Callithrix jacchus: one gene and its partners. The protein of the gene in region 1 purifies or fractionates together with the protein of each later gene. This does not show direct contact. Links are inferred from orthologs where the notes say so. Each region holds a gene or a part of one and is shown in the gene's direction. Other genes may lie near its edges. The genes, in order: RYK, ADGRA3 and PCDH7.

Evidence for each region.
Region 2: the proteins of RYK (region 1) and ADGRA3 purify together in Homo sapiens (affinity purification with mass spectrometry; 3 studies listed by BioGRID and IntAct, with this or other methods). This does not show direct contact. The link is inferred for Callithrix jacchus from reciprocal best matches to the Homo sapiens genes RYK and ADGRA3.
Region 3: the proteins of RYK (region 1) and PCDH7 purify together in Homo sapiens (affinity purification with mass spectrometry; 3 studies listed by BioGRID and IntAct, with this or other methods). This does not show direct contact. The link is inferred for Callithrix jacchus from reciprocal best matches to the Homo sapiens genes RYK and PCDH7.

The regions. Positions count from the first base shown.
Region 1 is NC_133518.1:50,014,651-50,016,968, forward strand, and holds part of RYK (tyrosine-protein kinase RYK), read left to right. Parts: intron 1-1,582; coding exon 1,583-1,719; intron 1,720-2,318. UniProt on the Homo sapiens protein: May be a coreceptor along with FZD8 of Wnt proteins, such as WNT1, WNT3, WNT3A and WNT5A. Involved in neuron differentiation, axon guidance, corpus callosum establishment and neurite outgrowth.
Region 2 is NC_133504.1:171,415,478-171,419,141, forward strand, and holds part of ADGRA3 (adhesion G protein-coupled receptor A3), read left to right. Parts: intron 1-460; coding exon 461-616; intron 617-3,664. UniProt on the Homo sapiens protein: Orphan receptor that may have a role in planar cell polarity pathway.
Region 3 is NC_133504.1:163,020,360-163,024,023, reverse strand, and holds part of PCDH7 (protocadherin-7), read left to right. Parts: coding exon 1-1,410; intron 1,411-3,664.

The DNA.
Region 1 (2,318 bases):
TTGGTGTTTAATGTAGGCACCTTACAATACAGTGTTTCCACTCATCCCCCTTCCAGTCTTCATACTGTTTGTGGGTATATCTTTCAATTCTCTGTATATTATAAACCCCACAATATCTTGTTAGCTGTTTTTGCTTTAAATAGTCTATCAAGGAAATTTTAACACAAGAGAATAGGTTCAGTTGTTACTAATATGTTTTCAGTTCTCTTTATTCTTTGTGTCAACCCAGATTTCCATGTGGTGTATTTTTTTTTTTCCACATGAAGAACTGCTTTTATACACCTTACAGGTCTGCTGGAGACATAGTCTCCCTGCTTTTATTTTTCTGGAAAACTCCGTATTTTGTCTTCATTGTTGAAGTATATTTTGGCTCAATATAGAACTTACTATGACAGTTCTTAAAATATGTCATTTCATTGTTTTCTTGTTTGCATAGATTCTGGGGGAAATGTAGCCATTGTTCACTATTATAGGGCTTTTTAAAAAATTTGTCTACAAAGTAAGTATTTTAGGATTTTGTTACTGAAAAATAGTAACCTAAAATTTAATGCAGTATACTTAGATTTTACAAATAGACTTGTATTTGACTTGTGTTTGGTATTTTTCTTTTTTTTTTCTTTTACTCATTAAAATATGCATTTTTTGGCAAGCTATTCCTCTGATCCTCAGTTTCCCCATCATGGTAGCACAAGTAAAACTGAACTACCAATGATTCTCACAGGTTTATTGAGGAAATTAAATGTACTGAAGGATACAAAATGCCTCAGACTTGTAGGTACTCACAAACCTGATACTGTAGTCTACAGGTTTCCCCTTCCCTATTCAAGTTCAGTTATTCTGACCTCAGGGTTCATACATGGTAACAGATCAGTGGACATACCAGATCTGAGTCCTTTTCAGCCACGTGGCAGCAGCTTTGTGTAGACATGTTGCCTGCTTCCCACCTCCTGCACACTCTCCAGGAGCTGAGTACAGCCAGGAATTGGCCAAAATGGGGAGCCCCGCTCAGACTATGAGTGGACACCGTTGCCACTGTTGACCATTCCTGTTCCTTTCTGTAGTTTACATACTGATTTTAAATAAGTCTGATTGCTAACTCAGGCAAGTTTGGAAGTTATTTTAATCTGTTAATTTAAAACTTTAAATACAGTAAAAATCCATGACTTTTTATGTTTCCCCTCATTTGCATATTTCACTTAGGATGCTTTTCCCTTTAATTAGACTAGAATTCTTTTCATTTTCCACTTCTCAGTTATGCAGACTAGCTATAATATTTAAAGGTACAAATTCTCATATTAGAAGAATCTTAGACATAATTTATAATACATAGCTTGTAATCAACACTAAACTATTACTTCGAATGGATCTAATTGCAGAATTTATAATACTAATATTGGATGAACTTTTTTTTAATCTTGGCAAGAGAAAATAACCGTATGATAGACTTCTTTTTGTAAATAACATTTTGCTTTTCTGAAGCCTGAGTTGAGCTGCTATTTTTTGTCCTGTAGCTAGCTGTGGGCACTAGCCCCCTCACCATTGTTTTAAATGTCCCCTCATTGTGCTCCTGCTCCTTTCCTAGTGGGCCTTTGGAGTGACGCTGTGGGAACTCATGACTCTGGGCCAGACGCCCTACGTGGACATTGACCCCTTCGAGATGGCCGCATACCTGAAAGATGGTTACCGAATAGCCCAGCCAATCAACTGTCCTGATGAATTGTGAGTTTTTCTGAGCTTGAAGGCATGAACTTTATTCCATTTACTATATTGGAATAAAGGAAAATGAGCAGGTTTCCATATTCAAACAGAGCTTTCCCTTTGAAAATAATGACTGTTTGGATTTAAATTAGACTCTTGTAAAGAACCATAAAGTCAGGGTGATTCAGTCACTAATTTATGCATTTGACATTAGAACTTCTTGCATTTTATTTTATAGTGCATAATCTAAGCACTATAAATTAGTCTGAGAGGACAGACTAAGAAAATGGATGTACTAGGAAAATTGGCTGAATATTATGTCAGTTTTTCTATATAGAGTGAGTACTTGACTTTTGTAGTTATAAAGTAGTTATAAAGGACACAGTAGTTATAAAACACCTTTCTTACTGTCATTTTGCCTTCCCAGTTGGTATCAGCTGATACAGGGAAGATGATCTGGACTAGTGAGCAAAGTAGTTGCTTTCTGTTTCCTGCTTCTATCACATAGCTTATCTTGTCATGTAATGAGAATGGGATAAGCAGGAGGCTATTGAGGGTGTTTAGACATACAGATGAGTATCTTCTCAGTTCTAGAACCCCCTGAAGGTTTCTGCATCATG
Region 2 (3,664 bases), on another chromosome or scaffold:
GAATAGATAAACAAATGTAAAACATTAGTGGCTGGGCATGGCAATAAAGGTAAGTGCCAAATAACTAGTCCATACTCTTGTGCAGTAGGAGTTCCTGGGGAGGTATTGATCACTTGCAGCAGGAATACTCAGGAAAGGCTTTATTAAGCAATTGGGATTGAGGTGTGTGTAGAATCTGGATAGGCAGAGAAGATATAGATGGTGAAACTTGTTAACCTCATGTATTTTTATGTATTATTGTATTTCACTCCAAGCTTAAAAAAATTTCCCTCAAGTGAGTTTCCATTAAAATTCCAGTTTTCTTGAGTTTGTAAAAGCATTTTTAAGAAGGCCATGATGAGTAAAAAATAAAGTTTTTATTATTTGTTGCTGTTTGGAATTGCAAAGTTAAAATGTCAAGATTATGTTGATCATTTTGCTAATGACCTTTCTGTTGATCATTTGTGCCTTTGAAATGTAGATGCCCCTTAATCTAACCAATGCTGTGGCAACAGCTCGGCAGTTACTGGCTTACACTGTGGAAGCAGCCAACTTTTCTGACAAAATGGATGTTATATTTGTGGCAGAAATGATTGAAAAATTTGGAAGATTTACGAAAGAGGAAAAATCAAAAGAGGTACTTTTCAAAATTCAGATGTGTAGCATACAGTGTCAACAAATGGTAATGTGACATAGTTCAATCTGATTTTTTAAAACCCGTGTATGTTGTCATCTTTTTTTAAATTTCCAGGATTGTTTTGTTAAGAAACTTCTGCCTCTTCTCTTATAATGACCTGTTTGTTACTGGGATGGGGACAGTTGAACTCTCAGTTCTTGGACATTAAGGTCCAGAGATACGGCAGAGGTAGCTGGTGAGAAAGCAGTGTTCTGCCTCCACACTGTGGCTTAGGCAGGGCTGCTTAGCTCAGCCTGCTTCATTTCTCTTCACACACCCTTCGCTCGTCATTTGTAACAGGAGTTTTAATCACCCAAATCTTGTAGTAAGTTTCTTTTAATTGTCCTTGTAATGTCTTAGAGCAATGAGAGTCTGTTGGGGCACTGTGTTGAAGTTCCAAATGGTTAGAATATATAAGTTTTAAACATGCAATGAATTCTAAAAGTGGCATATTTTAACAGAACCACATTAAAACCATGAGATGCTTGTCCACGTAATATCCTTTAGGGGAACAAAATTGACAAGCACAGTTTTCAGAATGAATGAGCAGCAAATTAACAATGTTTTGAATAATTTGCAAGGAGCAGAATTAATGTGTTCTTAAGCTTTACATTTAAAGCTTCAGGAGAACTTTATATGTACAATTTCTTTTGTAATATAATCACTTATAAAGAAATGAATTCTAGAGGTAGAGGGAACCTCAAGCAAGTGGTAAACTGCAGCCCACACTTAGGTTAGGGCAGGCCTGAAACCAGAGCCCAGAGCCCTGACTCATCCATAAGAGTTTTCTGTAGTATCACTTTCACCTTTTCATGTAATGTGGTCCTGTCTTTTTTTTTTTTAATTATACTTTTAAGTTCTGGAGTACATGTGCAGAATGTGCAGATTTGTTACATAGGTGTACACGTGCCATAGTGGTTTGCTGCATCCATCACCCCGTCATCTATATTAGGTGTTTCTCCTAATGTTATCCCTCCCCTATCCTCCCACTCCCTGCTGTCCCTCCCCTTGCCCCCCACCCTGACAGGCCCTGGTGTGTGATGTTCCCCTCCCTGTGTCCATGTGTTCTCATTGTTCAACTCCCACTTATGAGTGAGAACATGCAGTGTTTAGTTTTCTGTTCTTGTGTCAGTTTGCTGAAAAAGCAATGGGGCAATTGCTTTTTAATCTGATTGAGCCTGGTCAACATAAGCTGGTGCTTTTGTTTTCTCAGGATAGGACTAAAAGCTATCAAACTGCCAGATCTAAGTGATGTATTTAGTGGAGCCTTTTAAAAACAGTTGAAGGTTGTCTGTCCAGCTTTATCTATGTCCCTGCAAAGGACATGAACTCATCGTTTTTTATGGCTGCGTAGTATTCCATGGTGTATATGTGCCACATTTTCTTTATCCAGTCTATCATTGATGGGCATTTGGGTTGGTTCCAAGTCTTTGCTATTGTGCACAGTGCCGTCAAAAACATACGTGTGCATGTGTCTTTATAGTAGAATGATTTATAATCCTTAGGTATATACCCAGTAATGGGATTGCTGGGTCGAATGGCATTTCTATTTCTAGATCCTTGATTCTAAAAGTGCTCTGTACACAACTGTGGAGAAAGCACTGGACTAAACAAAACCTGCATATTTCTATAATGTAGAACTTCTTAGATCCATTAATATTGCTGAAATGTAAATAATAAGACTTGTTTCTATGAATCATTTAATATGTTTTTATATATCAATTGCCCACACACACTTATACATCACATATATATTCTAATATATATTATATATTATATAGAATGCTCTTTTAGATTTATCTGAATATATATCATTAAGATTTAAATGTAATATTGCTTATAATTCAGTGACTGACGTACAGTTCTTTGGCAGTTTAAACCACAGGCCAGAGCTTTCACTGTTCATTAGTGTAGTGAAAAGAAATTAGAAGACTTAAGGGCTTCATTTATTTATATCCAAATATATGTTATATATCTTTATATTAATATAGATATGTTCTTATATACTAGATCTATCTATAATGTAATATGTTAGATATATTCTCAGATATCTACATATTATATATATGTAAATAGATGTATTCTTTTATATATGTAATATATATATAAGAATTACTATCTTGCATTCTGGTGGAACTGTAGCCCTAGTACATTAGGTACTTTACTTGGTAGGATGTGGTTATTAAGGGAAGGAAAACAGATATTTGTATATAAATGGGACTTAGGCAGATAGGCCAACTCACTTGTCAATGGGGTAACATTTCATTTGTTTTCTGAACTTCGGGGGCCATGATTTTCTAATAACTGCCTCGATACTTGATTGTGTCTCTGAGCTACAGCCCTCTTTCCTGCAGTGAATTTTCCTTGCACTGGGAGAAGCTGTTTGAATTCTGGCTCTGTGATTAATATTGTGCTCCATTTTTGCTTAAGATCACAGGTTAGCTGCCCACAGGATTAGCAGTCGTTTCTGGTAGTGGGATGTGTCTAGTTACTAGAATAATTGCAGTGGTATTTGGAATGAGGACATGGAAGAACATTCACCATCGAGGAATACATGTTTATGATGTGACTCTGTTTTGCTCACCTCTCAATTTGAGCCACGTGGTATCCAGAGGTATATACTGAACTGTTTGCCAGCATATGGAAGAATGGTTGGGTGCACTGACAGGTTCTTAGGTGGAAGCATTGTGAACTGGAAATAGACATGGTTTCATTAGTTATTAATTAACCATGGGGCCATTCCTCATTTTTCAAATGGGGATGTTATTTTCTCTGTATAACTTGAAAAGTGTATGTGTACAAATACAGGTGAACAATTTTGCAAAATACTTGCAAAACTTGGGCATAATTTTAATAGGTCATGAAATTTAACATTTTTATAACTCAGAAGCTAAGAAGAAAGTCCATTTAAACAATCACGAGTTCACCAGTTACTTCTTAAAAATTTAGTTTGAAGAAGATTGCTGCCACTTTTACTGGTTAACATAGGATGGCAAAGTTACAATTATC
Region 3 (3,664 bases), on another chromosome or scaffold:
GGGGACATCCTGGTCAATACAGTGCTGGACCGCGAGCAGACTGACAGGTATGAGTTTAAAGTTAACGCCAAAGACAAAGGCATCCCTGTGCTGCAGGGCAGCACCACGGTGATTGTGCAGGTGGCTGATAAGAATGACAATGACCCTAAGTTTATGCAGGACGTCTTCACCTTTTATGTGAAAGAAAACTTGCAGCCCAACAGTCCTGTAGGGATGGTCACCGTGATGGATGCTGACAAGGGGCGGAATGCAGAGATGAGCTTGTATATAGAGGAGAACAATAACATTTTTTCTATTGAAAATGACACGGGGACCATTTACTCCACAATGTCTTTTGACCGGGAACATCAGACCACATACACTTTCAGAGTCAAGGCCGTGGACGGGGGAGATCCTCCCAGATCTGCCACAGCCACAGTCTCGCTTTTTGTGATGGATGAAAATGACAATGCTCCCACAGTTACCCTTCCCAGAAACATTTCCTATACTTTACTGCCACCTTCAAGTAATGTCAGGACAGTAGTAGCTACAGTGTTGGCAACAGACAGTGACGATGGCATCAATGCAGACCTGAACTACAGCATTGTGGGAGGGAATCCCTTCAAACTGTTTGAGATTGATCCCACTAGTGGTGTGGTTTCCTTAGTGGGAAAACTCACCCAAAAGCATTATGGCTTGCATAGGTTGGTGGTGCAAGTGAATGACAGTGGGCAGCCTTCCCAGTCCACCACGGCTCTGGTGCATGTGTTTGTCAATGAAAGTGTTTCTAATGCAACTGTGATTGACTCCCAGATAGCTAGAAGTTTGCACACTCCACTCACCCAGGATATAGCTGGTGACCCAAGCTATGAAATTAGCAAACAGAGACTCAGTATTGTCATTGGCGTGGTTGCTGGCATTATGACAGTGATTCTAATCATCTTAATTGTAGTGATGGCAAGGTACTGCAGGTCCAAAAATAAAAATGGCTATGAAGCCGGCAAAAAAGATCACGAAGACTTTTTTACACCGCAACAGCATGACAAATCTAAAAAGCCTAAAAAGGACAAGAAAAACAAAAAATCTAAGCAGCCTCTCTACAGCAGCATTGTCACTGTAGAGGCTTCTAAACCAAATGGACAGAGGTATGATAGTGTCAATGAAAAGCTGTCAGACAGCCCAAGCATGGGGCGATACAGATCTGTTAATGGTGGGCCTGGCAGTCCCGACCTGGCAAGGCATTACAAATCTAGTTCCCCATTGCCTACTGTCCAGCTTCATCCCCAGTCACCAACTGCAGGAAAAAAACACCAGGCCGTACAAGATCTACCACCAGCCAACACATTTGTGGGAGCAGGAGACAACATTTCAATTGGATCAGATCACTGCTCTGAGTACAGCTGTCAAACCAATAACAAGTACAGCAAACAGGTAAGATGTATCCCAAATGTATTTAAATATCCGAGGGAGGGCTAGTAACTCTGGGACAGATTATCTTCGGTAAAGTTTTGTCTTCTCGTTTTTTAAAGTTATTATTAAAATTTAACAGTAGGAACTTAATGTTAATTTGTGCACCATTAATTTAGCAAAGGCCATCCACCAGTGGTGTACCACTGTATTTTGCAAGTTTAGACTTAAGGTTCAGTAAACTACTGAAGGAACTGTTCAAAGTAGGCAGTGTTTTGCACTTCTCTTTGCACTCAACATCCTTAATTCATTCTACTTTTTGTTCCCAGAATAAATATGCTTGTATTGTTTAGATGGTTAGTTTTCACCTGAAATTATTTTCTTTTGTGGCAACTAAGTGGATAATTGCATCCAGAGCAAAAGTTTCTAAAGTTACTACTGGTGTCTATGCAAGTTGGATACCATAAAAGTTTTAGCTATGTTATTTACAGTGCAGGATTTTACAGAGAAGCAGATGCTGATTCAAGCAAATGTAGTACTAAGTCTGAGATATTGAAATACTCCTTTGATGAAAACGCTGGTTTAAAAATACTTACTGACATGCAAATGTCATATAGAACTCTACTTTCAATATTTTATATCTATTACAATTGATATCTATAAGAATTAGTAATCTATAATGATATGCAAATACTATTTGCATTCTTCCTGTTTGGTGTTAAAAGTTTGTAAACAAAAATACACTGCATGAGCCATTTATTATTTAAGTCACGTAATGAAAGTATTCATGATCAATATACTGTGTGCAAGACTTTCGGCATGTGTTATGATATATTGAGAATATAAAGATTATGTGACATAATCGTTTCTCAGTGACATATAGAAACAGTAAAATATACATATATTCTGTGGTGGAACTTAAGCAAAAATGAAATTTATTTTTGAAAGTTTTCCTTGTGTGATACACAATCCTCAGAAAGTTTACTTTGCGTATCCACCAAAGTTTGCCCCACAGCAAATAAGCCCTTTTGGTAAGGGCTGTGTCTCATGCTACAGCAACCTCAGATAATAAATCAGTAAGTCTTTCTTCCTGTCAGAACCCATCTCAAGAAACACAGTTATGACTGTCAGTCTAGTTTCCATTAAATATGCTTTGCGTGTGGAATGTGGAATCTGAGAAGAATTGAGGCAAAAGAAAATGTTATTTTATAGCCTCATTAACGATGTTACAGAAAGATATTAATTCTTTATTGCTTTTTTGATTATTGAAATTTTTTTTTAATAAATATTTTCTACATATATTACCTTACTGTAGGTGTTTGGATAAGGAGAATCAGTCTTAATATGCGTTTATATCTAATAACAAATGCAACCTAAACACTGGTTTGAACTACATTTGCATTAAATGGCTTTGAAAATATGTCCTTTGATATATGTGCATTTGAATTATTTATTTTAAACCAACATTTTACATAATCTAGTGTTTATGCCTGTTGTATTATTGCCTTACCTGAAGTTAGAAGCTTATTTTTGTATTGTTGTGGTGCTTTTATCAGTTTTGTAAACAAGGAAGATTCTAGCTAAAACAGTAGCACTTTCTACAGATTTCTTATAAACACCCAAAAATACATTGAGATTAGACGTTTCTCTAGAAAAGAGCAACAGGTAATGCAAAGGAGTGTGAAGAGATCTGTCTGCAGAATATTTATATCTCGGTTTTTATCCTAATGGTACTTCTGTCCTGTGGCCAGATAGCATTTGCATTCTCAATTGTGTAATCTTCTGTTTTTGAGTGGACATATCAAGTGACACTTTTATAGATATTTTATGCAAACACTTTATATGCTCTGTGCTGTCACTTACGCTTCATTTCCTCATCAGATGAGGTTAGCTCTATATTCCTGAATATTTAAAACAGCTAATATCAAGACTGTTGGCATCCTGTTTAAAAGGCAAAGCGATATGCTTATAAATAAACTAATATAGGGTGTTAGCCTCTTCACTGAGCAAAGAAGTTCATATTCCAAGAGAAAACCCTCAAAGCAATTGGAATGAATCACACAGTTTGCCAAAAGTGACTTTGAAAAACTTTTCTGTCATTAGGTATTCGAAGGAAGTATACAGTTTTAACCACAAGTAAACAGCTGACCTAAAATGAAATAAAGGCAAATGAAACACATTCCCCTTAATGTAATTAGTCATAGTAATTGATATGTTTCATCTCCTCAATATTGCTGTCAGGGGACAAGGGATCATTTACAAAGGTACAGTCTGTTTT